Stegostoma tigrinum: one gene and its partner. The protein of the gene in region 1 interacts with the protein of each later gene in a pairwise test. Links are inferred from orthologs where the notes say so. Each region holds a gene or a part of one and is shown in the gene's direction. Other genes may lie near its edges.

The links.
Region 2: the proteins of mocos (region 1) and parvaa interact in binary tests that used the Homo sapiens proteins (3 or more experiments, as listed by UniProt). The two-hybrid records come from large-scale screens. The link is inferred for Stegostoma tigrinum from reciprocal best matches to the Homo sapiens genes MOCOS and PARVA.

Annotation. Positions count from the first base shown.
Region 1 is NC_081355.1:91,986,853-91,998,404, reverse strand, and holds the start of mocos (molybdenum cofactor sulfurase), read left to right. Parts: upstream 1-7,051; 5' UTR 7,052-7,462; coding exon 7,463-7,586; intron 7,587-11,552. UniProt on the Homo sapiens protein: Sulfurates the molybdenum cofactor. Sulfation of molybdenum is essential for xanthine dehydrogenase (XDH) and aldehyde oxidase (ADO) enzymes in which molybdenum cofactor is liganded by 1 oxygen and 1 sulfur atom in active form.
Region 2 is NC_081370.1:37,376,145-37,387,067, forward strand, and holds the start of parvaa (parvin, alpha a), read left to right. Parts: upstream 1-5,357; 5' UTR 5,358-5,811; coding exon 5,812-5,944; intron 5,945-10,923. UniProt on the Homo sapiens protein: Plays a role in sarcomere organization and in smooth muscle cell contraction. Required for normal development of the embryonic cardiovascular system, and for normal septation of the heart outflow tract.

The DNA of each region.
Region 1 (11,552 bases):
AAACCTAGAAGTTGAAGCATTCTATCTTGTACTCATCAGAACCAGGATGTAAGAAACAGACTCGAAAGAAGAGGTACCATTTCATACAGTATGTGAAGAAGGTGCATATTGTTTGGGCCATCATTGGTATCGAGAAGAAGCATGAACAGTTGACTGTAAATCTTAATTCTCATCCCGTATAGGTAAATTCTGATTGGTCAGTGCGCTGTTCTGCGAATACAGCAGACTCTGGCTACCTTCATGACCTTACTTTTTGCAAAAGGTGTAATGTATATATAAATATATGCACAAATTATTTTTTATCAACAGAAAACAGTGTCCTGACCATTTAGATATGTAGCTTCGAGCATGCACAAATGCATAATACTGCAAGCCCAGCTGATCTTCTAAATTTGGATTCTGATTAACTCAAGCTGTCAATATTATTTGGGTGCATATGGTCACAGAAATTTGAGGGTGCATACATGAGGATCAATGGTCGGCACAACATCGTGGGCTGAAGGGCCTGTTCTGTGCTGTACTGTTCTATGTTCTATGAAACGACTTGCAAGTGCAGAATCACATCTAATGGGTGGATATACTTTTCTGGGCTTTGCAAGCATGAACTAATTGAACACAACTGCCATGCTGCCTGATATGACTGGATAACGGTATGTGTTTGTTGCAGTCTACCTTTCAGTAGGACATAAGGCCTACAGACCTAGTATCACGATGACACTGAACTCATATCACATTATTCATTTATCTATTATGCAAAATAGCTTTGATGGGAAGAAAAGGGAAACAACTCTGGATTTGCTGCATAATCAGTTTAACCTCGGTGGTGAAGAAATTATTAGAAGTAATCCTGAGGGACAGAATTAATCTGCGTTGGAGAGGCAGGGATTAATCAAGAACAGTCAGCATTGTTTTGTTAAAGGGAGATAATGTCATACCAGCCTGACTGAATTTTTCAAAGAGGTGACCAGGTTTGTAGAAAAGGCAATGCCTTTGATATAATCTATTTGGACTTTAGCAAGGCTTTTGACAAGATCCTACGTGGGAGACAATAGTAAATGTAAGAATCCGTGGGATCTGAGGAAATTTGGCAAATTGGATCCATAATTGGCTGAGTGGGAGGAAGCAGGGGGTGATCATTAAGAAGTATTTTTATAACTGGAAGTCTTTGTCCAGTGAGGTTCCACAGGGGTCAGTGTTGGGGTCCTTGTTGTTTATGATTTATGTAAGTGATTTAAACTTGAATTAGAAAGTTGTTCATTAAGTTTGTAGAGATAGAAAAATTGGTGTGGTAAATAGGATAATAGCCTTAGACTACAAGAGGATGTAGATGGGCTGAGCAGTTTGGCTGATCAGTGACAAATGGAATTCAATCCAGACAAATGTAAAATCATGTACTTGGGCAGGATAGGCAAGGCAAGGGAATACATGACAAATGATAGGATCCTGAGGAAACACCAACAATTAGAGGGACCTTAGTGTGCATATACACCTGGTGCCTTAATGTGTCAGGACAGATAGATAAGATAGTTAAAAAGGCATAAGGTATTTATCATATAGCCTATATTAATCAAAGCATAGAGTTGAAAAGCAGGTAGGTTGTGCTGGAACTGTATAAAATGTTGGTCAGGCCGCAGCTAGGGTATTGTGTGCAATTCTGGAATCCACATTATCGGTGGGATGTGCCACTGAAGTGGGTGCAAAGGAAATTTTACCAAGATGTTTCCTGGGCTGGAGAGTTTCAGTTATGAAGACAGACCAAAAAGACTGTAGTTGTTCTCATTACAGCAGACGAGATTGAAAGGGAACGTGATTAAGATGTATAAAGTTATGAGGGGCATAGATAGAGTAGATAGGAAGAAACCTCTCCCTTGGAGAGAGGGATTAATGACCAGGGGCATAGATTTAAGGTAAGGAGCAAAAGCTTTGAAGAAATGTGAAGAAAAACTTTTTCACCATGAAGACAGTGCAAATCTTGAACTCACTGTCTGTAACAGTGGAAGTGGGAGAATTCTCAAAACATTTAAGAAGTATTTAGATAAGCAAACATGATGTCAAGGCATACACGTATATGGGGTATGTGCTAAAAAGTAGGGTTAGAATAGTTAGGTGGTTGCTTTTGACTAGTAGAGATATGATGGGCCAAAAGGCTGTTTTCCATGTTATTGATCTCAATGACTCTATATTATTAGCATGATTTAGCTAGGTTCACCATATTTTTGAGATCTTCACCTTCCAAGGTAATTTGAGGTAGATTGCATTCTGGTCAGGGGAAAAAGAATGTAGACCTATCCTAAAGTTTTGTGATGATGACTGGCTTAGGGTATCCATTATTATGCAAGATGGTTTTTGATATGCCAATGTCAGTGCTCAGTTTACAGCAAGCAGATGGCTATATTCATGAGGCCAATAGTTTGATCATATAGTGCATACAACAGTAGGAATGCTAGTGTGTATAATGACCAGTGAATGAAGGCCTTCAGTAAACAGTTAAGAATACATTTTCAGACTTCTCAACTAATACAATGAGGAAAAGGAGTTCACTTGATTGATTACAACTTTGGGAATTCACTTCGAAATTTACTTTCTTGGTCTACATCTGAAATTCCATCTACTTTGTACATTTGTTTCAGCTTCCTTTATTCATTCATGGGACGAGGGCATTGCTGGTTAGGCAGCATTTATTGCCCATCCCTAACTGCCCGGAGGGCAATTAAGAGTCAGCCCCATTGCTGTGGGTCTGGAGTCACATTGTAGGCCAGGTAAGGATGGCAGTTTCCTTCCTTAAAGGACATCAGGGAACCAGATGGGTTTTTCTGACAATTGACAGTGGATTCATGGTCATCATTAGACTGTTAATTCCAGATATTTAATGAATGCAGGTTTCACCATCTGCCATGGCAGGATTTGAACCTGAATCCCCAAACCATCCAGCAATAATACCACTAGGCCATTGCCTCAGCTTGAAAGTGCCTTTTTTGCTTAATAGAGATAATTCTACTTGATTTTTAATGACATAAAGAGATTCCATGATTTCTCTTCCCTTGTTCCTACGTTTTGCTAAGATTATTCCAGTGTTCTTCTAGGTCCTGATAATTTCATTCAGGATAGCTACTGTTTAATCTTTTAAGCCGTATAAGCTGTTTTGATGATACTGAGTCTTACCCTAGTTTATGATCTGTGGTGTACATATTTGTTTCTACTTTGATACCCCCATATTTAAGAGTTGTTGACTTCTTCGAAATAAACTTTTCCTTGTATTGTGATATTTCCACCTCTTGTTCTGCTTTGATTATTATACTTTACTACTGTCTGCATTTGAAACTTGCAAACTTTTCTAAAATAACCAATGTCTCTATAGTTGTGGCACTGTGCTTCCCATGTTAGGTAATCTTCCAATTTGTGTGACTTGCTCTTTCCACATTTCAGATATTTCACAATGGTGATTGAGGTGCTTTGCATTCTAGTGAGTGGCACACAAGTCATGTTTTCTTGTTTGTGAGTGGGCACACAGCCAGCCTCACTCAGTTTTTTTTATCATGGCATCTTACTTTCTCAACAAACAAAAATAGAGAAATAATTAATTCAAGAATGTGGCAGCTTGGAGAAAGCATGGATTTGTCAATAAATGACCTTTACTGGCCAGCAGAGAGCTGCACATTTGAAGAGCCAAAGACAAGTAATTCACACATGCACTTAGATGAGACCTTGTTAGACTTCTTACAAATCAGAGATGATTTGATGCTACATATGCAGATCATGGGGGGGTACAATATTAATCTTGAACTTAAAAAAAAGGTACGAAAGAAAGTAAATAAGTTGTCAAAAAAAATCTCAACATGATGAACTGGTGATTTAATAAAATGAATACTTAATAAAAGTAACCTTTAAAAAGTGCCAAGCAACAGAGTTAGCAATACAAATTTTATGTATTTCGCTTAACAAGCAGAACTAAAGAGACAGACTAGGCCTCAAAAATTGGTCGTAAGGGAAAGAAAGAGGACTGGCACCCACAGCAAGCTGACCCCTGTTGTAATTCATGTGAAAGTGGGACAAAGAAATAGATTGCCCTTCAACTTGGGATTTCTTCATCCCCGGACCGTATTTGACCGAATATGGCATCAAGGAGACTTTAGCAAAACTAGTATTAATGGGAATCAGAGGAAACCTCTCCACTGGTTGGAGTCATGCCGAGCACAAAGCAAGATGTGTGGCCATCAAACATCTTCACTCCAGAACATCCTTGTGGGAGTTCCTCACGGTAGATATTTTTCTTACCAAACTGATCAAAGATGTTATGACACATGTCTGGTCTAGGTGGGATTAGAACCGATGTCTCTTGGTTCTGAGATATGGGCATTATCACTGCATCACAAGAGCCATTAGCTCATCAGGGTAGATATTTTCTCACCAACCTATTCAGAGATGTTATATCACACCTCTGAAGCAAGTAGGATTTGAACCTAGGTCTTCTGGTCTCGAGGAAGGGCCACTACCACTGCATGACAACAGCTCTACTCTCAGAGCAGTGTTCTAGGCTCATTCATTTTAACCTGCATCATCAATTACCTTCCTTCCACTGCAAGGTCAGAAGTGTGGCTGTTTACTGATTAAGCACAGTGCTCAGGACTATTTGCAATTGTTCAGACAATGAAGCAGTCTTTGTCAAAACACAGCAATACCTGGACAATACCCAGACCTGGGCTGACAAGTTGAAAGGATGAATGAATAACTAGCATCACAACTGCAGAGTTTAGATGTGATTTGTTGGTTATGGTTGTCGAACTCTGAACTGTATGCTGACTTTGCAGTTCGGCGGGCAAACAGTCCTATGCTGTAACTTAATAAAATGTGAGGCTGGATGAACACAGCAGGCCAAGCAGCATCTCAGGAGCACAAGCTTTTGTGCTCCTGTGATGCTGCTTGGCCTGCTGTGTTCATCCAGCCTCACATTTTATTATCTTGGAATCTCCAGCATCTGCAGTTCCCATTATCTCTGATACTATGCTGTAACTTCTCCGGGTTTGCATTTTTAGGTTTTTCTGGTGCTGCCCCTGCCATGTCCTCTTATATGTTTACTGACCAAGCTTGACGGTACTGGTGGAACCGGGGATATGTTGGTCCATGAGGTTACAGATTGTGACTGAATACTTTAATTCTGCTGCTCCACCTGAGCCATAGCACTACCTGTATGCCCAGTTTTGAATTGCTGGATCTTTTCAAAACCTGTCTTATTTAGCATGGTTGTAGTGCAGCACAACACAATGCAAGGTCTCCTCAGAGATGGGTAGTCTGATGCCTCATTGTGCCTTATAAGGTTCCTAAGACCATAAAGCCATAAGATGCAGGAGCTAAAGTAGGCACAAACAAAAACAGAAATTACTGGCAAAACACAGCAAGTCTGTCATCATCTGTGGACAGAAAGCAGAGTTAATGTTTCAATGAGTGACAGTAAGAACTGCAGATGCTGGAGTCAGGGATAACACAGTGTGGAGCTGGAGGAACACAGCAGGCCAGGCCCATCAAAGCAGTAGAAAAAGTAATGTTTCAACTCAAGGATCCTTCTTCAGAATGTGGAGGGGATAGAGGGAGCTGGGAAATAAATAGAGGAGGTGTGGGGCTGGGGATGGTAGGTAGGATGGTGATAGGTGAGTGCAGGCAGGCAGTCGTGAGGTTTGGTCAGTGAGGTGGGAGGGGTGGATAGGTGGGAGAGAAGATGGACAGGTTGTGTCAGGTCAAGGAGGCTGGGATGAGAGGGAGATAACAAGCTGTAGAGCTGGATGAACACAGCAGGCCAAGCAGCATCAGAGGAGCAGAAAGGCTGAAGTCTCGGGGCTAGACCCTTCTTCAGAAATGGAGGAAGGGGAAGAGGGTTCTGAAATAAATAGGGAGCGAGGCGGAGGCAGATAGAAGATGGATAGAGGAGAAGATAGCTGGAGAGGAGACAGACAGGTCAAAGAGGCAGGGATGGAGCCAGTAAAGGTGAGTGTAGATAGGGAAGTAGGGAGGAGATAGGTCAGTCCAGGAGGACGGACAAGTCAAGGGGGCGGGATGAAGTGAATAGGTAGGAGATGGGGGTGGGGCTTGAGGCAGGAGGAAGGGATAGGTGGGAGGAAGGACAAGTGAGGGAGGCGGGGACGAGCTGGGCTGGTTTTGGGATGCGGTAGGGGGAGGGGAGATTTTGAAGCTTGTGAAATCCTGCTCTCTGCCTGCTCCTGCCCCACTGAACTTATCTCCACCTATCTCGACTCCATCTTCTCCCCTAAGTCCAGGAACTCCTGACCTATGTCCGTGCCTCCTCCAGAACTTCCAATTCCCCAGTCCCCAACACCTCATCTTTACTATGGACGTTCAGTCCATATTGATACCATTGGGCTGCAGGGTTCCCAAGCAGAATATGAGTTGCTGTTCCTGCAACCTTCGGGCGGCATCGTTGTGGCACTGCAGGAGGCCCTGTATGGACATGTCATCTAAGGAATGCGAGGGGGGAGTTGAAATGGTTCGCAACTGGGAGATGCAGTGGTTTATTGCGAACCGAGCGTAGGTGTTCTGCAAAGCGGTCCCCAAGCCTCTGCTTGGTTTCCCCAATGTAGAGGGAGCCACACCGGGTACAGTGATGCAGTATACCACATTGGCAGATGTGCAGGTGAACATCTGCTTGATATGGAAAGTCAACTTGGGGCCTGGGTTGGGGGAGGGTGACGAGGTATGGGGACAACTGTAGCACTTCCTGCGGTTGCAGGGGAAAGTGCCGCGTGTGGTGAGGTTGGAGGGGAGTGTGGAGCGGACAAGGGAGTCCCGGAGTGGTCCCTCCAGAAGGCAGACAAGGATGGGGAGGGAAAATTGTCTTTGGTGGTGGGGTCGGATTGTAGATGGCGGAAGTGTCGGAGGATGATGCGTTGTATCCGGAGGTTGGTGGGGTGGTATGTGAGGACGAGGGGGATTCTCACACATTATCTCTCCCTATTTATTTCAGAACCTCCTTCCCCTCCCCCTTTTCTGAAGAAGGGTCTAGACCCGAAACGTCAGCTTTCCTGCTCCTCTGATGCTGCTTGGCCTGCTGTGTTCGTCCAGTTCTACACCTTGTTAGCTCAGATTCTCCAGCATCTGCAGTTCCGACTATCTCTGAACCCATTCAACGATATTATGACTGATCTGACAATCCTTAACTCAACTTTCCGATCTATGAATGGATAACCTCCTCACCTGGAGCCTCATGACCCCAGCGAGACTTTGGCTACCGGTCCTGAAATTATTTTTTAACGGTTATAATTGTTTTGCCGTTCGGCCTGGGTGTCTGTCAATGATTGTACAGTCGCCTTTACCTCGCCCGGTTCAAGGACTCTGAGTCTATCTCTTTGCCCACACGCAGGCGGGTCCAGGCCGAGGAGAGGGAGGAGTCGCGGCACGGCCCCCGATCCTGGGACTGATCTGTGGCGAGAAGCCGGCTCGCAGCTGACACCAAATGGAGGGGAAGGCGACACCGCCGGAGCGCAGCAGCCTGGAGCTGTTTACAGCAGCTTTCGAGCAGCAGGGGTGCGGGGGAGCGATCGAAGCCATACGGCCCCGTGAATTCAGTAGACTCACAGGTAACCGACCGAGCAAGGGCGAAAGGCCCGGTCTTTGGCACTGTTCCGGGGAACCGCTGGGAATGACCTTCCCCTTCCACACTGATCCCGGGACCAGCTGGGTTTCAGTCTTAATTTCCTTCCCCCATATCCCAGTGCATATATCTGTGCGCATTGTAAATAACTGCATTTGGTCAACCGTGGATTCACTTCAGAAGCTGACAGTACAGAAGGCGGTAAACAAGATATATTTGGTTCTGGAGGATATGATGAGATCTAGAGTACATACAGCTGTTGTAGAGCATGGCAGCATCGTTTGATCTTTGCGTTGGCTAATGCTGCAGTGACCAAGACCTTTTGGATTTGATAGAATTAAAGTTGTGCCATGGAATTTGATTTTTTTAAAAATTTGGATGTTTTAGGCTTTTGTAAAAATAGTAATGTTCCAGATGTATCTTTGGGGTATGAGAATTTTGCAGGCGATCATGTCAATAATAATATCAGAAAATAGTTGACAGTGGTTGGGGAAAAAACTGGAATAAATTAAGATGGTATGTGTGCAAGCTTATTTTAAACAATGCCAGTGCAATCGCACAACACTCTTGTCTACCTTTCGCAATACTCCACGTCATATCCACAAACATCCCCACTGGAGGGAAGCTTTTCTACAGGATGGGACCTCCGGTTCAGAACCTAGAACACAGCAGCCTCTGTCATTGATAACAAAGTGTGGAGCTGGATGAACACAGCATGCCAAGCAGCATCTTAGGAGCACAAAAGCTGACATTTTGGGCCTAGATTGCCTCTGTCACTAAGCTGCAGTACGCAGACGCTGCTTTTCTGAGCATACACTCTGAGGCTGACCTTCAGACTATTATTGATGCATGAGGTGTATGAGAGCATGAGATTTGTGCTGACCAATCAGAGGACATTGATCCTCTGTTAGCCTGATGTTGCAATGCATCTCCATTCCCTGTTGATCAAGATCCATAGTGAGCACTGCGCAACGCACATCAACCCACTTCGGAGCTTTCGTTCAAAAGGGCTATCATCATGAAATTCAACATGTCCGTAATGTCCCAGCGTAGCCTGGCACTAGCCTCTTGCTGTGCGGGGTATTGATCTTGCATGTCCTTCTGTATCTGTTGGAGGCATATGCTCCTAAGATGCTGCTTAGCCTGCTGTGTTCATCCAGCTCCACACTTTGTTATCTCTTAAACATACATATATTTTTGAGTAGAATCCCAGAGAATTGTCACTGTGACGCCCCTGCAAAATTCTGCAAATCTATTGACACAATAGGTTTTCCTCTCTTGGGCCAACTCCCCACCCCAGCTCATCCCTACCTCGCTAACTGTTCTTTCTCTCACTTATCCCCTCTTCCACCCCAAGCCGCACCCCCATTTCCTACCCAGTAACCTCATCCCGCCCCCTTGACCTGTCTGTCCTCCCCGGACCAATCCCCTCCCTACCTCCCCACCTTGCACTCACCTCTACTAGCTCCTACCCCGCCTCTTTAACTTGTCTGTCTCCTCTCCTCTGATCTTCTCCTCTATCCATCTTCGACCCGCCTCCCCCTTTCTTCCTATTTATTTCAGAGACCGCTCCCCCTACCCTTTTTCTGATGAAGGGTCTAGGCCTGAAACATCAGCTTTTGTGCTCCTAAGATGCTGCTTGGCCTGCTGTGTTCATCCAGCTCCACACTTTGTTATCTCAGATTCTCCAGCATCTGCAGTTTCCATTATCTCTCTCCCCACCATAGAAGCACTGCTTACTTTTAGTCAGCTGCATTGGGTGTGTCACGTTGTCATCATGCCTGATATAAGGCTATTAAACCAAACCTCCCACTTCAAGCTCAGTCAAGGCAAGCAATTACTTGCGGGGGGGTGGGCAGAGATAAACATTCCAAGCATGTCCTTAAAAACTCATTAAAAAAAAATTGCAATGGCTACAGAACCTGGGAATCTCTTGACCAAGACTGCCCACACTGCAGAAGAAATATTTGTAAAAATGCCAATCAACAAAGCATTTTAGGTTTTGGTGTGGGTTAAGTGCAAACTGTGGAAGGAGCATGCAAAAGCCTGACCGTCCATCTACCCACCTCTTTAAATACCATATGCCCACTTTGTGATGGTGTATGCAATTCAGAATTGTTTAGTCACCTCAGGACTGACATGTCTGAAATGAAAGAAAGTCATCCACTCTCTCAGGGAACTGTTTAGAATTTAGTAAAGGTAGAAGCACAAGAAAGAATGGTTTGAGATCTACATAATGGAGATGACATCTACTATTGATGTAAATTGCGTGAGACCAAGAGTTCTGGACTGCTGTGGACTATACTGATGAGGTGTCCTCTCTAAGTTGGGCATCGGTATGGTGTCCCTGGAGGAATCGGGATCACCAGATCGGGTAAAGAGGAGTGAATTGTTCAAGGTCAGAAACTGAGCATGTCAAAGCCCGATGCTCATCAGTAGTCAGATTGCGCCTGTGAATAAACGTTGCAGTGCAGCCTGGTTAACACAGTGAAACATCGTCTTTATGGGTGGCATGGTGACTCAGTGGTTAGCATTGCTGCCTCACAGTGCCAGGGACCTAGGTTTGATTCCACCTTTGGGCGACTGCCTGTGTGGGTTTCCTCTGGATGCTCTGGTTTCCTCTCCCAGTCCAAATATGTGCAAGCTAAATGGATTGGCCATGCTAAATTGCCCATAGTGTTCAGGGATGTGTAGATTAGTGGGGTTACATTGGGATGGGCTCACACGTCGGTGTGGACTTGTTGGGCCGAAGGGCCTGTTTCCACACTGTAGGGATCCTATGGAAATTCTATGGAAAGCCTACGTGATCTACAAGATAAATGCAACAATTAAACAGTACTTGACACTGAAAGTAACCAAGACAATCATACAAAAGAGAGAGATTCTGTTCCAATAAGCCTCAGTCAGTTGTATGAGACAATGGACATTAACAAGCTCGGTATGAAGGAATTCTCCGAAATCGGCGCAAGGTGAAGTAGTCACTGACACAGGTAAAGATGAGCTGATAATGACTGTGAAACAATCATTGCCCACTCCATGCTTGACATTCTCTTACAGCTTCCTGTCATGGATAAATTAGATGAGAAATCCCTTTGCTTGAATTCATGCAGGTCTGTACTGCTTTGCAAATAGCAAGGCATGTGTAAAGCATGGAATCCCAGCTGAATTGCTCAAATATGAAATTTCTCATCTAGGGTGACTTTTTATGACTTTCTCTGCTGGAAAGTAGGCTCCATTCTACGTGAGATTATCACACTATATAAAAACGAAGGTGACAGGAGATTGCAGTACAAACAGGGACAACCCACCCTTTAGTGTCATTGGGAAGATATTGCTCAGGGAATGCTAAGATTGTATCTGCTTGCAGACTGAGTCTGCCCACTGTACAGTTTCAATGCCTATAGAGCTACTGTGGACATGAACTGCATTTCTGAGGAAGGGTCTAGGCCCGAAACGTCAGCTTTCCTGCTTCACTGATGTTGCTTGACCTGCTATGTTCATCCAGCTCTACACCTTGTTATCTAATGAACTCCATACACTAGCCACTAGAAAAATACTTTGTTCAGGCATTTGCCACCAACAGCAGAGTGAATCTACAAAATTATTGGTGAAGAAAAGCATGTTCTGTTGGAGCTTTTCATCTTGCATGCATCTGGAAATTTGCAAAACTACAAATGTAAAAGTGAACAACATTTTTTATGTTCTGTGAGCATAGCATAATGAGTACTTGGCAGTGGTCTCTGGCAAGAGTCATTGTGATGGGAATGCATCAGTTACATAATGACTATCCGTTAACTATCAAGCTTTATTTAAATCTAAACCAGGCAAGTTGAATCTACACAGTTAAAGATTTGCCCTGAGAAATGAACCAGACAATGGCTGTTGCCTATTTTGATCAGTTGCAAAAGAGATAATTTGAGATTAAAAAAGTCTGCAAAAAAAATGCCTTATA
Region 2 (10,923 bases), on another chromosome or scaffold:
ATATCATTGACCTTCATCCTGCGTTGCTGTGTGTTCCTCTGAATCATGGGGAGAATCAGATACAGGAGCAGATTTAGGCCATTGAGCCCATTGAGTCTGCTGTGCCAATCATTCATTGCTGATACGTTTCTCAAACCCATTCCCCTGCCTTGTCCCTGTAACCCTTGATCCCATTACCAATCAAGAACCTATCTACCTGTATAAAAATACATTCAATGACCTGGCCTCTACAGTCTGCTGTGGCAATGAGTTCTATAGATTCAGTACCCTCTGGCTGAAGAAATTCCTTCTTATCTGAGTTCTAAAGGGTCATCCCTTCATTCTGAGGCTGTGCCCTCAGGTCCTAAGCTCTCTTGCTACTGGAAACATTTTCTCTATGCCCACTCTATCCAGGCCTCTCAGTATTCTGTAAATTTCAATAAGAGCACCCCCTCATCCATTGACTACCGATCCAAATTCCTCAACCACTCCTCATATGGCAAGCCCTTCATTCCCGGGATCATTCTTGTAAACCTCTTCTGGACTCCCTCCAGCACATCCTTCCTTAGATATGGGGCCCAGAACTGCTCACAATATTCCAGATGTGGCCCCACTAGACCATTATATACTCTCAGCAGTACATTCTGACTCTTGTATTCTAGTCCTCTTGAAGCGAATGCTAACATTGCATTTGCCTTCCAAACTGCTAACTGAACCAGTATGTTAACCTTGCAAGAATCCTGAGCTAGGACTTCTAAGTCCTTTTGTGCATCAGATTTCTGAAGCCTTCCCTCATTTCGTAAATATGCTATGCTTCTATTCTTCCTACCAAAGTGCATGACCTCACACTTTCCCACACTGTATTCCATCTGCCATTTATTTGCCCACTCTCCTAGCCTGTCCATGTCCTTTTGCTGCCTCACCACCTCTTCAGCACTGTCTGTCCCTCCACCAAGCTTTGTGTCATCTCCAAACTTAGCAACAATGTTCTCAGACTACATTGATCCTGGTGATGACCTCAGATCAAGCTGGCAGAGTCTGGTGGTGTGATCACATCTGGCAATCTTGGGGAAAGAGGATGTCCCCTCTTGTATAGAATTCATCAACCATGACCTCAAAGTCCCTGTCAGACACTACGTCCACTAAATTGTGTACAGCTTCCAGAATGCCAGTGTTTATCCACGTGCACAACAGCCTTTTAAAAATGGCACTTATGCCAGGGATAGCTGGCAATATTAAGAACTGGGGTAGTGTGATGGGTCAATGAGTGGTACTGCTGCCTCACAATGCCAGGGACCTGGGTTTGACTCCAACCTCAGGTGACCGTGTGGAGTTTACACATCCTCCCCATGTGTCTGTGTGGGCTTCCTCCGGGTGCTCCACCTTTCTCCCACAGTCCAAAGATCTGCAGGCTAGGTGGATTGGCCATGGTAAATGTGGGATAATGTGGATAGGGTAGTGGGGTTGGTTTGGGTCAGATATGCTTCAGACATGCTGGGCTGAATGGCCTCTTTCTGCACTGTGTGGATTTTATGATTCTGGTTACAGTAAGTGGGAGAATTTGGATAGCATCAGATGAGCGGGCATACTATGGGTTCAGGATCAGTAGTTAATGAAGCAGTTTGGGATGGTTGTGTGTGAAAACTCTCCAAAATTAGAGAAACACTCCAAATGGAAAGGCCCTGGGGAAAATTGATGCACAGAGAGATCTGGGTGTTCAGGTCCATTGTACCCTGAAGGTGGCAACGCAGGTCGATAGATGGGTCAAGAAGGCATATGGCATGCTTTCATTCATTGGATAGGGCATTCAGTTCAAGAGTTGGCAGGTCATTTTACAATTGTATAGGACTTTGGATCGACCACATTTGGAATACTGTGTACAGTTCTGGTTGCCACATTACCAAAAGGATGTGGATTCTTTGGAGAGGGTGCAGAGGAGGTTCACCAGGATGTTGCCTGGTATGGAGGGTGCTAGCTATGAAGAGAGGTTGAGTAGATCAGGATTATTTACATTAGGAAGATGGAGATTGAGGGGGAACCTGATTGAGGTCTTTAAAATCGTGAGAGGTATAGACAGGATGGATAGCAAGAAGCTTTTGCCCAGAGTGGGGGACTCAATTACTAAGGGTCATGATTTCAAGGTGAGATGGGAAAAGTTTAAGGGAGATATGTGTGGAAATTTCTTTATGCAGAGGGTGGTTGGTGCCCGGAATGCATAGCCAGCAGAGGTGGTAGGGTCAGGGACGATAGCATCATTTAAGATGTATCTAGGCAGATATGCAAATGGGCAGGGAGCACTCGGATGCAGATCAATGGAAGATAGGCAACAGGTTTAGATAGAGGATCTGGACCAGCGCAGGCTTGGAGGGCCGAAGGGATTATTCCTGTGCTAGAGTTTTCTTTCCTCTTTGTTCTTGATATTCAGCAAAACTGACATTTCACTGAAACACTGTTAGATTCAGCCCTAAGTGTCTTTCTCTCTTTCATTGGGTAAGGGGCATTGTCGAAGTGAGGTCAGGTCCTGTGACATAAAGTTTGGATAGGATTGACAGTCCTGAAAAACATGTGGACCACATGAAAGCTGCAACCTCACAAACGGGACAGGAGCAAACCGTACCCTCAGAACAACTAGAAAGGCTGTTGCAACCCATGCGTTCTCTCCCTCTTCAAACATCAAAGAAACCTTGGAGTCTGAGATAGACATAGCAGATGTCACAGCCTCGATGCGTTTACCACCTGAAGAACAGGATTAATCTCCTCCGAGGTGCTCCAGGTGCAAGAGACAGATTATAGTCTGGAACGTGCTGCCCATATCCAAGGCTGCGTCAGAGAAATTAGACCCAGTGCAAAAACATCCCTGCAGAGGTTACAAGAAAAGGAACAATCCTAAATCCCCAGACTTAGATGGGGAGGGATGTAGTGATTGTCATGAGGTCAACCAGGTGGACCTCATAGAATATTGTTCGCTGATTGGGGCTGTTAACTTTGTCCAATCAGGGAGCCCTGGCTGACAGATATAAACAGGAGTGTCAGCAGCTCTGCTCATTTTGTGAGCTAGCTCTGAGGAATTTAGACTGGTGTCAAGTATTGTGCATATGTAAATGAGGAGTGACTTAGTGACAGGACACTGATCTCTGGAGTTATTTCACTTTCCTTTCTTTATCCTAACCTCTGAGGATGAATATCTGAACATTTTTTCCTTAGTCAGGTTTCTCCTGCAGTGACAAACTTCAGCCTCCACCAAATGATGGTGATACCTTGTCAGTGATACTGTGCCACTCTATTGAGGTAAATGTTCATCATCAAATAAGCTCAGGCATTGAGCTGTCACTGCATGGGTGTTAGCAGCCTACAGCTTATGGGATCTAAAGGTTTGGCTGAGGATCTCCAGATCCAATTGAGTTAGCCCAAAGGTGAATAGTAGAATAACCAAGAGTTACTGGTTTGTCCACTGTTTGCCCTGATTTTTGGGGTTATGCTGAATATCTACTAACTTAAGTATCATCTTTTATGATGCTGATGATTAATCATCCTCCTCCAATCCTCACTCCCATTTGAGGTCATAGGTCAAAGCAGACCACTTGCTGCTGAACAAAGATGATGGCTGTAAATAATATCAAAAAACAGTCTATTTGCCTAGACTGCAGTTTGCATGGTGGCCTTCTTCACCAGACACTTGTGTGTAATCCAAGCCAATACTTGCAATGCTGTATTGAGGCAGTCCTGCACTGTTGGACAGACTATCCACTTGTCCCCTCAATTGAATGTAAATTATCTGTTGCTTTTTTTTGATTTAATACCATGGGAGTTCTTTCCATTTCTTTCCCCCCACCCAGTATGCTGTTGTCAACTAACCTTCTAAAACCAGATGATCTGGCCATTACTGTATTTTTGTGTGTGGGGTCTTGCTTGTGCAATATGGCTGCTGTGCTTCAGTAGTTCTTCAAAACTTGACAAGTACTTAACTTGTTGGGTAGTGTTTTGGAACATTGGAAATTGTGAAAAGTGACAAATGCAAGTTGTTCTTTCACATTGCTTTCAATCACAATTGCTACAGTGAACGTGGACACTGCCCAGTCCATTATGTCTGCATCAACTCTCCAAAACAGCATTGTGACTTAATGCCATTTTAAAACATTGCACATTGTTTCTATTCTTCTAATGCTCTTTTGAATGCCTTGCTTGAACGTCACTCCTTTGCACTTTCAGGCTCTGCATTCCAGGTTCATCTTTCTCACCATAGCTTAAAGTTCCAAACCTTTTTGAATCTTCCACGCAGTTTTTAATCCTTAATGTCTTTTGCTTGGTACACCTGCTCTTCCTGTTTAATGTCTCGATGCCTTTTCTCTCTGATTACACCCTGGTCCTTGCCTACCTCCTTCTGGGCTTCCCCCTCATGTCAGCGGATCGAGCATATTGTTTCTGGATTCTGCTTCATGGCTCAACATCAAATTTTGTTTTATTGTCTTAATTCTTCTCTTGACCCTGTTCCACATTCCATCCTCTCTCTCCAGATCGCAGCCTCTGTTTATTTACTGATTTGAGATCCTTTTGTTTGAGGTTTACTGAGATGTTTCCTCAAAAAATTATGGCTTTCACAATCTCTCGTGTGGTTTTAGCTGTGGTGCAGCAAGTCCTGACTGAGTCAGAATGTCATGAATTCAAGTCCCACTCTAGATGCTTCAGCACAATGACCAGCCTGATATAACTGTGCAGTTATGCGGTGAAGTGATGGCCTTATAGTATTGTTGCTGGACTGTTAATCCAGTGAGCCAGGTATGTTCTGGGAACTTGGTTTCAAATTCTGCCACAGCAGATGGTGGAATTTGAATTCAACTGAAACAAAGCTAGAATTAAAGGTCTTTTGACCATGAAACAATTATTGGGGTGGGGGGTGAAATAAACCATCTGGTTGATGGTTATCCTTCCCCAAAGGATAATTAATCTACTGTTGATTGCAGGGGGAAAACCCATCTGGTTCACTAATTCCTTTTTGGGAAGGAAACCCCTTTTTACCTACATGGGGCTCCAGACCCACACCAATGTGGTTGACTCTTAACTGACCTCTGGGAATTGGCATTAAGAAAATGTACTAAGGAGCACTGAACTGTCTACACTTCAAAACTTTAGCTGTCAAGCTCTTTGAGCTATTATGAAGGTTACTCTCGAAATCCAAACCTTTCTTTCCAAATGCTTGCCCACCAATCAACTATCGTCACGTCGCGGGCTCCCACAAACAGCAGCCAGTGACCGAGATGAAATGGTTTGATGTTCGCTGATGAGGGGGTAAACATTGGCCCTAGGTGAATGAAAACTGTAACCCAGCGACAATACTGCGGCTTCCTAACTGCTGCCTCGCCGAGCACATGTTGCTAATGACAAAACCCCCTTCACTTTGGTTTTCGAAGCTGCTGCCTACCACATTTTCGTTTGAAAATAAAAGCTCCCCTTTGTTGATGCAGGGCTTTGAGATAAAATCTGCTTTAGCAACTTTTGTTAGGGGAGTGTGTCAATTGTAATGACAGAAATGGCGATGATATGACTATTTGTTTTTGATTTTTGTTCTTTCGGGCCAGTCTGAGAAGAAGCTGGGCTGAGAGTTTCACGCAGAGCAGAGATTTCAGTGGGAGTGGTAGGAGAGACACAGGCGCAGTCTCGCCCTGCAGCGTTGTGTTTAGATTCTCGCTGCCTCATAGCCCTGGAATTCAGGACTCGCCGAGAATTCTGTTTCCGTCCAGGGTTTTTTTTATCCCCCCTTTCCTCTCTCTCGGCTAAAGGTGTAGCGCGTACCCATCAGTCTGCACAAACATTCGTCCCCGCTGATCCGGACAAATGGCCAGTTCACCCCAGAAATCCCCATCCATCCCGAAGTCCCCCGTCCCGAAATCCCCCGGCTCCAGGAAAGAGGATTCCTTCCTGGGTAAACTTGGAGGAACTTTAGCCAGAAGAAAAAAGGCCAAAGAAGGTAATTCTTTCTTCTTTGTTTTTAGAAAAAAAACTTGTTTCATGTAAATTGTTCACGAACGTCCTGAAAATGTTGCCTATTTACTTGAAAGAGAAGTTTGCAACAAGTTTCGAAAACTTTTGCAATTTCAGCTGAAAGTGTTCAACTTGGTTTTGCTTTGTGGCTAACGTAACAGCTTCTAAGGCTGCAATGTGAGTGATTTACTCCCTTCATTAAATACTTCATTGTTTTGCAGCCTAAAAGTGGATTTTTGTTTTGTGGAGTTCACAGTTAAGTTCTGGGCTGGGTGTAGCTGGGCGTCCTGTGGAATGTTTTCCGGTTCAGACTCATTTGGTTGGCAATATAAGTTCTGCGGTTGAACTCGAAAGCATTTTCCGAACACCACCCACCCCCCTCTCGTTATCTCTCTGTGCATTGCACAGTTATTGATCAAACACCAAGGTTAAGACCGCAACTCAGGCGGGAGCTGCTTATCTGCACCTTACAGGGGGCAGGTATGCAGGAGTAAGCTGGATTCCTGTCTGCAGGGAAACCACGCCATGTAACAAAACCAAACCCTAGAGCAATAGAATTTCCACTGGCAATATTACACAGCTGTTGTTATCGTGAATGAAAGAATAATGTGTATTTTTTAAATTTTGAATCTTGACTATCTACATTTGTTGTCGGAAATTTAAAAGACAGTACAGGAAAGCCATTCAACCCCTTTTAAGGCTGTTGAAATCATGTTACAACTGCACAAGACATTGGTAGGGCTACATTTGGAGTACTGCCTACAGTTCTGGTCGCCCTGCTGGAAAGGGTGCAAGCATTTTTTTAAAAGGATGTGACCGATACGGAAGGTTTGACTTACAAGGAGAGGCTGAGTAGGCTGGCTCTGTTTTCTGAGCACCCTTAGAGGCTGAGGGGTGACCTTGTAGAGGTTCATAAAATCACGAGAGGCCTAGATAAGGTGAATAGCCGAGGTCTTTATCCCCAGGTTAGGGGGGGAAAATTAATAGGGACCAGGGGGGCAGCTTTTTCCACACAGGGGGTAGTGCATATATGGAATGAGCTGCTAGAGGAAGTGGTAGAGATGGGTACAATTAGAACATTCAAAAAACATTTGAACAGCTATGTGCATAGGAAAGATTTAGAGGCATACAAGCCAAACAGGGGCAAATGGGACTAGTTCAATTCAGGAAACCTCATCAGCATGGCTGAGTTGGGCCAAAGGGCCTGTTTCAAGGCTGTATGAGCCTATGATTCTAATTGGAGTATGGCTGATCCCACATGCTTAAGTGGAGAAGACTTGTGTGTTAAGTAGTGGTAACTTGAGCCAAATGACTGCTTTTTGCCCTGTGTACTTGCTGTAATTCTTCAATTCCATTAGTCTGTCTTCCTGTCCATGTTCTACCTTTGTGTGAGTTCTCTTCTGCTCAGGATTTGGGTATACTTGACTTTGTACTGAATCCATACAGACCAGGGTGCACAGCATGATCTGCTGTGCCCACTGTTTACACGGCTGGTATGTTAATTGGCACTTCAAGCGGTCGTGCCTCGGCTCAAAAATTCAACAAGTAGAAATATAGTTGGGCTGCGCTGAGAGCGTGTTTCTCACAATACTGTTGTTGTTGTTTGACTGCTGCACAAGTTATGCAAGACCTTTATGAAACCCTGCTTGGGCCCATCCTGGGCTCAATCCGTAATTGTTTGAGAGAGGTAAGTGGTTATAATTTTGGGGGGTCACCACTCTGCATCAAACATGGCTGAACAGAAACCTAACCCACTCTTTACTGCCTACATTTGATTACCAACCTACATGACCATGTCACAAATGGTGTTTCAATGGTCAACAAGGTCAATGGTGGATGTTAACTCTGAGCTTATGGCTCAGACAGATATCACCAACTGACATATAACGCCCTGTCCTCAGCTGGTGTATTGTGCCCAGTTCTGGAAAATGATGTCCAAGCCGTTGAGAAGATGCAAAGAAGATTTTATGGAAATAATGCAAGTGATGAGATATTTGTTTTCATCTTTAAGATAGAGGTCTGGAGAGTAGGTGAACAGGAGACTTGGTAGAGATTTTCAAAATCAGGAATTTGATAGGGTGCATTTCCTCTTGTAGGAGGGTCAGTAGCTTGGGGACACAAAAACATTAAACATGGTTCAGAGATAATAGGAACTCCAGATGCTGGAGAATCCGCGATAACAAGGTGTGGAGCTGGATGAACACAGCAGGCCAAGCAGCATCAGAGGAGCAAGAAAGCTGATGTTTCGGGCATAGACCCTTCATCAAAAAAACGGGTTTCATTTGGAATGCATTGCCTGAATGGGAAGTGGAAGCAGATTTAATAGTAACTTTGTAAAGGTGGTTGAGTATTCAGTTAAATGGAAAAGCTCTCAAATCTGTGGGGAAATAGTGAGGTGTTGGGGGAGGGAACTATTTGTGTAGCTCTTTGTGACACCACAGAATAGACTAAATGATTGTGCTCTCAAGTTGCAAGGTTCAGTGATTCTTAATCTTGCATATTTCAGCCTGTTGTAGAGATGAATCCCTCTTGCAGAATTAAATCCTGATGTCCGCAGAGGTTTGTTCTTGATCATTCTTTAAATGTCATTTTTACCAGAGAAGGGAGGGGCTAGGTGGCAATTCAAGCTGAAAACATTTTGTAGGATTTTCACTCAGACCTCTCAGTTACCTGTTTGGACAAATGAGTAAGAGACATAGAATCATAGAATCCTTAGAGTGTGGAAACAGGCCCTTTGTCCCAACATGTCCATGCTAACTCTCACAGCATCCCACCCCCATTCCCCAATAACCCACCTAATCTACACATCCCTGAACGCTACAGGCAATTTAGCACAGCCAGTCCACCCAGCCTGCACATCTTGGGGCTGTGGGAAGATATGGAGCACCCGGGGCAAACCCACGCAGACACGGGGAGCATGTGCAAACACCATACAGACAGTCGCCCAAGGGTAGTATCGAACCCGGGTCCCTGGCGCTGTGAGGCAGCAGTGCTAACCATTGAGTCACTGGGCTGCCCCGATTGTCCGGGCCAATTGTCAAAATTTGGCTACTTCAATTTGACAAATATTTGCTTTATTATTATGGAGGTTAGTGGGAGGGTGTCTCCTCCCTTCACTCAAAAGGTCATGAGTTATAAGCTCTACTGTAGTGAGTTGAGCACAAAATTTAGACTGCTATAGTCCAGGATGGAGGGAATGCCATGCTGGCCTGAGGGGCATGGGGGCACATATTTTTGAGAGGAGAGAAATTTTAAAAAGTCACAAAGGGCAAATTTTTCAGAGTGGGTGGATCACGTGTGGAATGATCTTCCTGAGGAAGTGTGGATGTGGGCACAATTACAATGTTCAAATGACATTTGGATACCTATGTGAATAGGAAAGGTTTGGAGGGATATGGGTCAGGAGAAGGCAGGCGGGACTAGTTTAGTTTGGGATTATGTTTGTCATGGACAGGGTCTATTTCTGTACTGTATGACTGAGGTATTAGGGAATTGAGGGATGTCGGGAGCAGGCAGAAAAGTGGAGTTGACACAATCTCTCTCACACAAATGTATACAGAATTAGAACTGCAGTAGGCATTTCAGCCCCTCGGGTTTGCTGCACCATTCAGTTGGATCATGGTTGATCTGTTTTTGTTTTCAATTCCGTATTCCTGCCTGATAAGAATCTAACCACCTATGTTTTCAAATATTTAATGACACTGTATTCCACCAGCCCCTCACCCAAAGTGGAGAGTAAAAAATGCTCTGCATTTCTGTCCTAAGGGGTAACCCTTATTATTCAAAATATGCTCCATAGTCCTGGGTTGACGGAAAAGAATAAACTTTCCACATCGACCTTGTCAAGATTTTCAGGCTCTGATACGCTTCAGATCGCTCCTCGCTCTTTTAAACTTCACTGGAAACAAACCCAGCCTGTCTCTTTATCCTCACAAAATAACTCACTCATTCAAATCAGATCCAGCTTTAAAAAAGACCTAAACTGTACACAATATTAAAGATGTGGTCTTATCAATGTCTGACTGAAGCTTAACATTCTTAATTTTATGTTCAGTTCTTGTTATTATACAGGCTAGCATCATATTAAGTACAACAGCAAAAACAGAAATTGCTGGAAAAACAGCACATTTGGCAGCATCTGTGGAGAGAAATTCGAGTTAATTTTTCAGGCCCAGTGACTCTTCAGAATGGACCCTTTTAGCTTTCTTGATTACATGTCATATTTGCATCTGAGTTTTTAATAACTCATACACCTTGGAATTCTATAGCCATTTTCCATTTAATTAATATTGTACTGTTTAATTCTTCCTACAGAAGTGAGTAACTTCACATTTTCCGACATCCCAGTCCATCTAGCAGATTTTTTACCCACTCAAGTTATTCGTATCTGGATGTGAGTTTGCTCGCTGAGCTGGAAGGTTAGTTTCAGACGTTTCTTCACCATTCTAGGTAACATCATCAGTGAGCCTCCGGTGAAGCGCTGGTGTTGTGTCCCACTTTCTATTTATCTGTTTAGGTTTCCTTGGGTTGGTGATGTCATTTCCTGCGTTGGTGATGTCATTTCCTGTTCTTTTTCTCCGAGGATGGTAGATTGGCTCCAAATCAATGAGTTTGTTGATGGAGTTCCGGTTGGAATGCCATGCTTCTAGGAATTCTCATGTGTGTCTCTGTTTGGCTTGTCCTAGGATGGATGTGTTGATTGGGACAACGCATTCATCCTAGGACGAGCCAAACAGAGACACGCACGAGAATTCCTAGAGGCATGGCATTCCAACCGGAACTCCATCAACAAACACATTGATTTGGAGCCAATCTACCATCCCCTGAGAAAAAGAACAGGAAACATCACCAACGCAGGAAATGACATCACCAACCCAAGGAAACCTAAACAGATAAATAGAAAGCGGGACATAACATCAGTGCTTCGTCGGAGGCTCGCTGATGATGTTACCTAGAATGGTGACG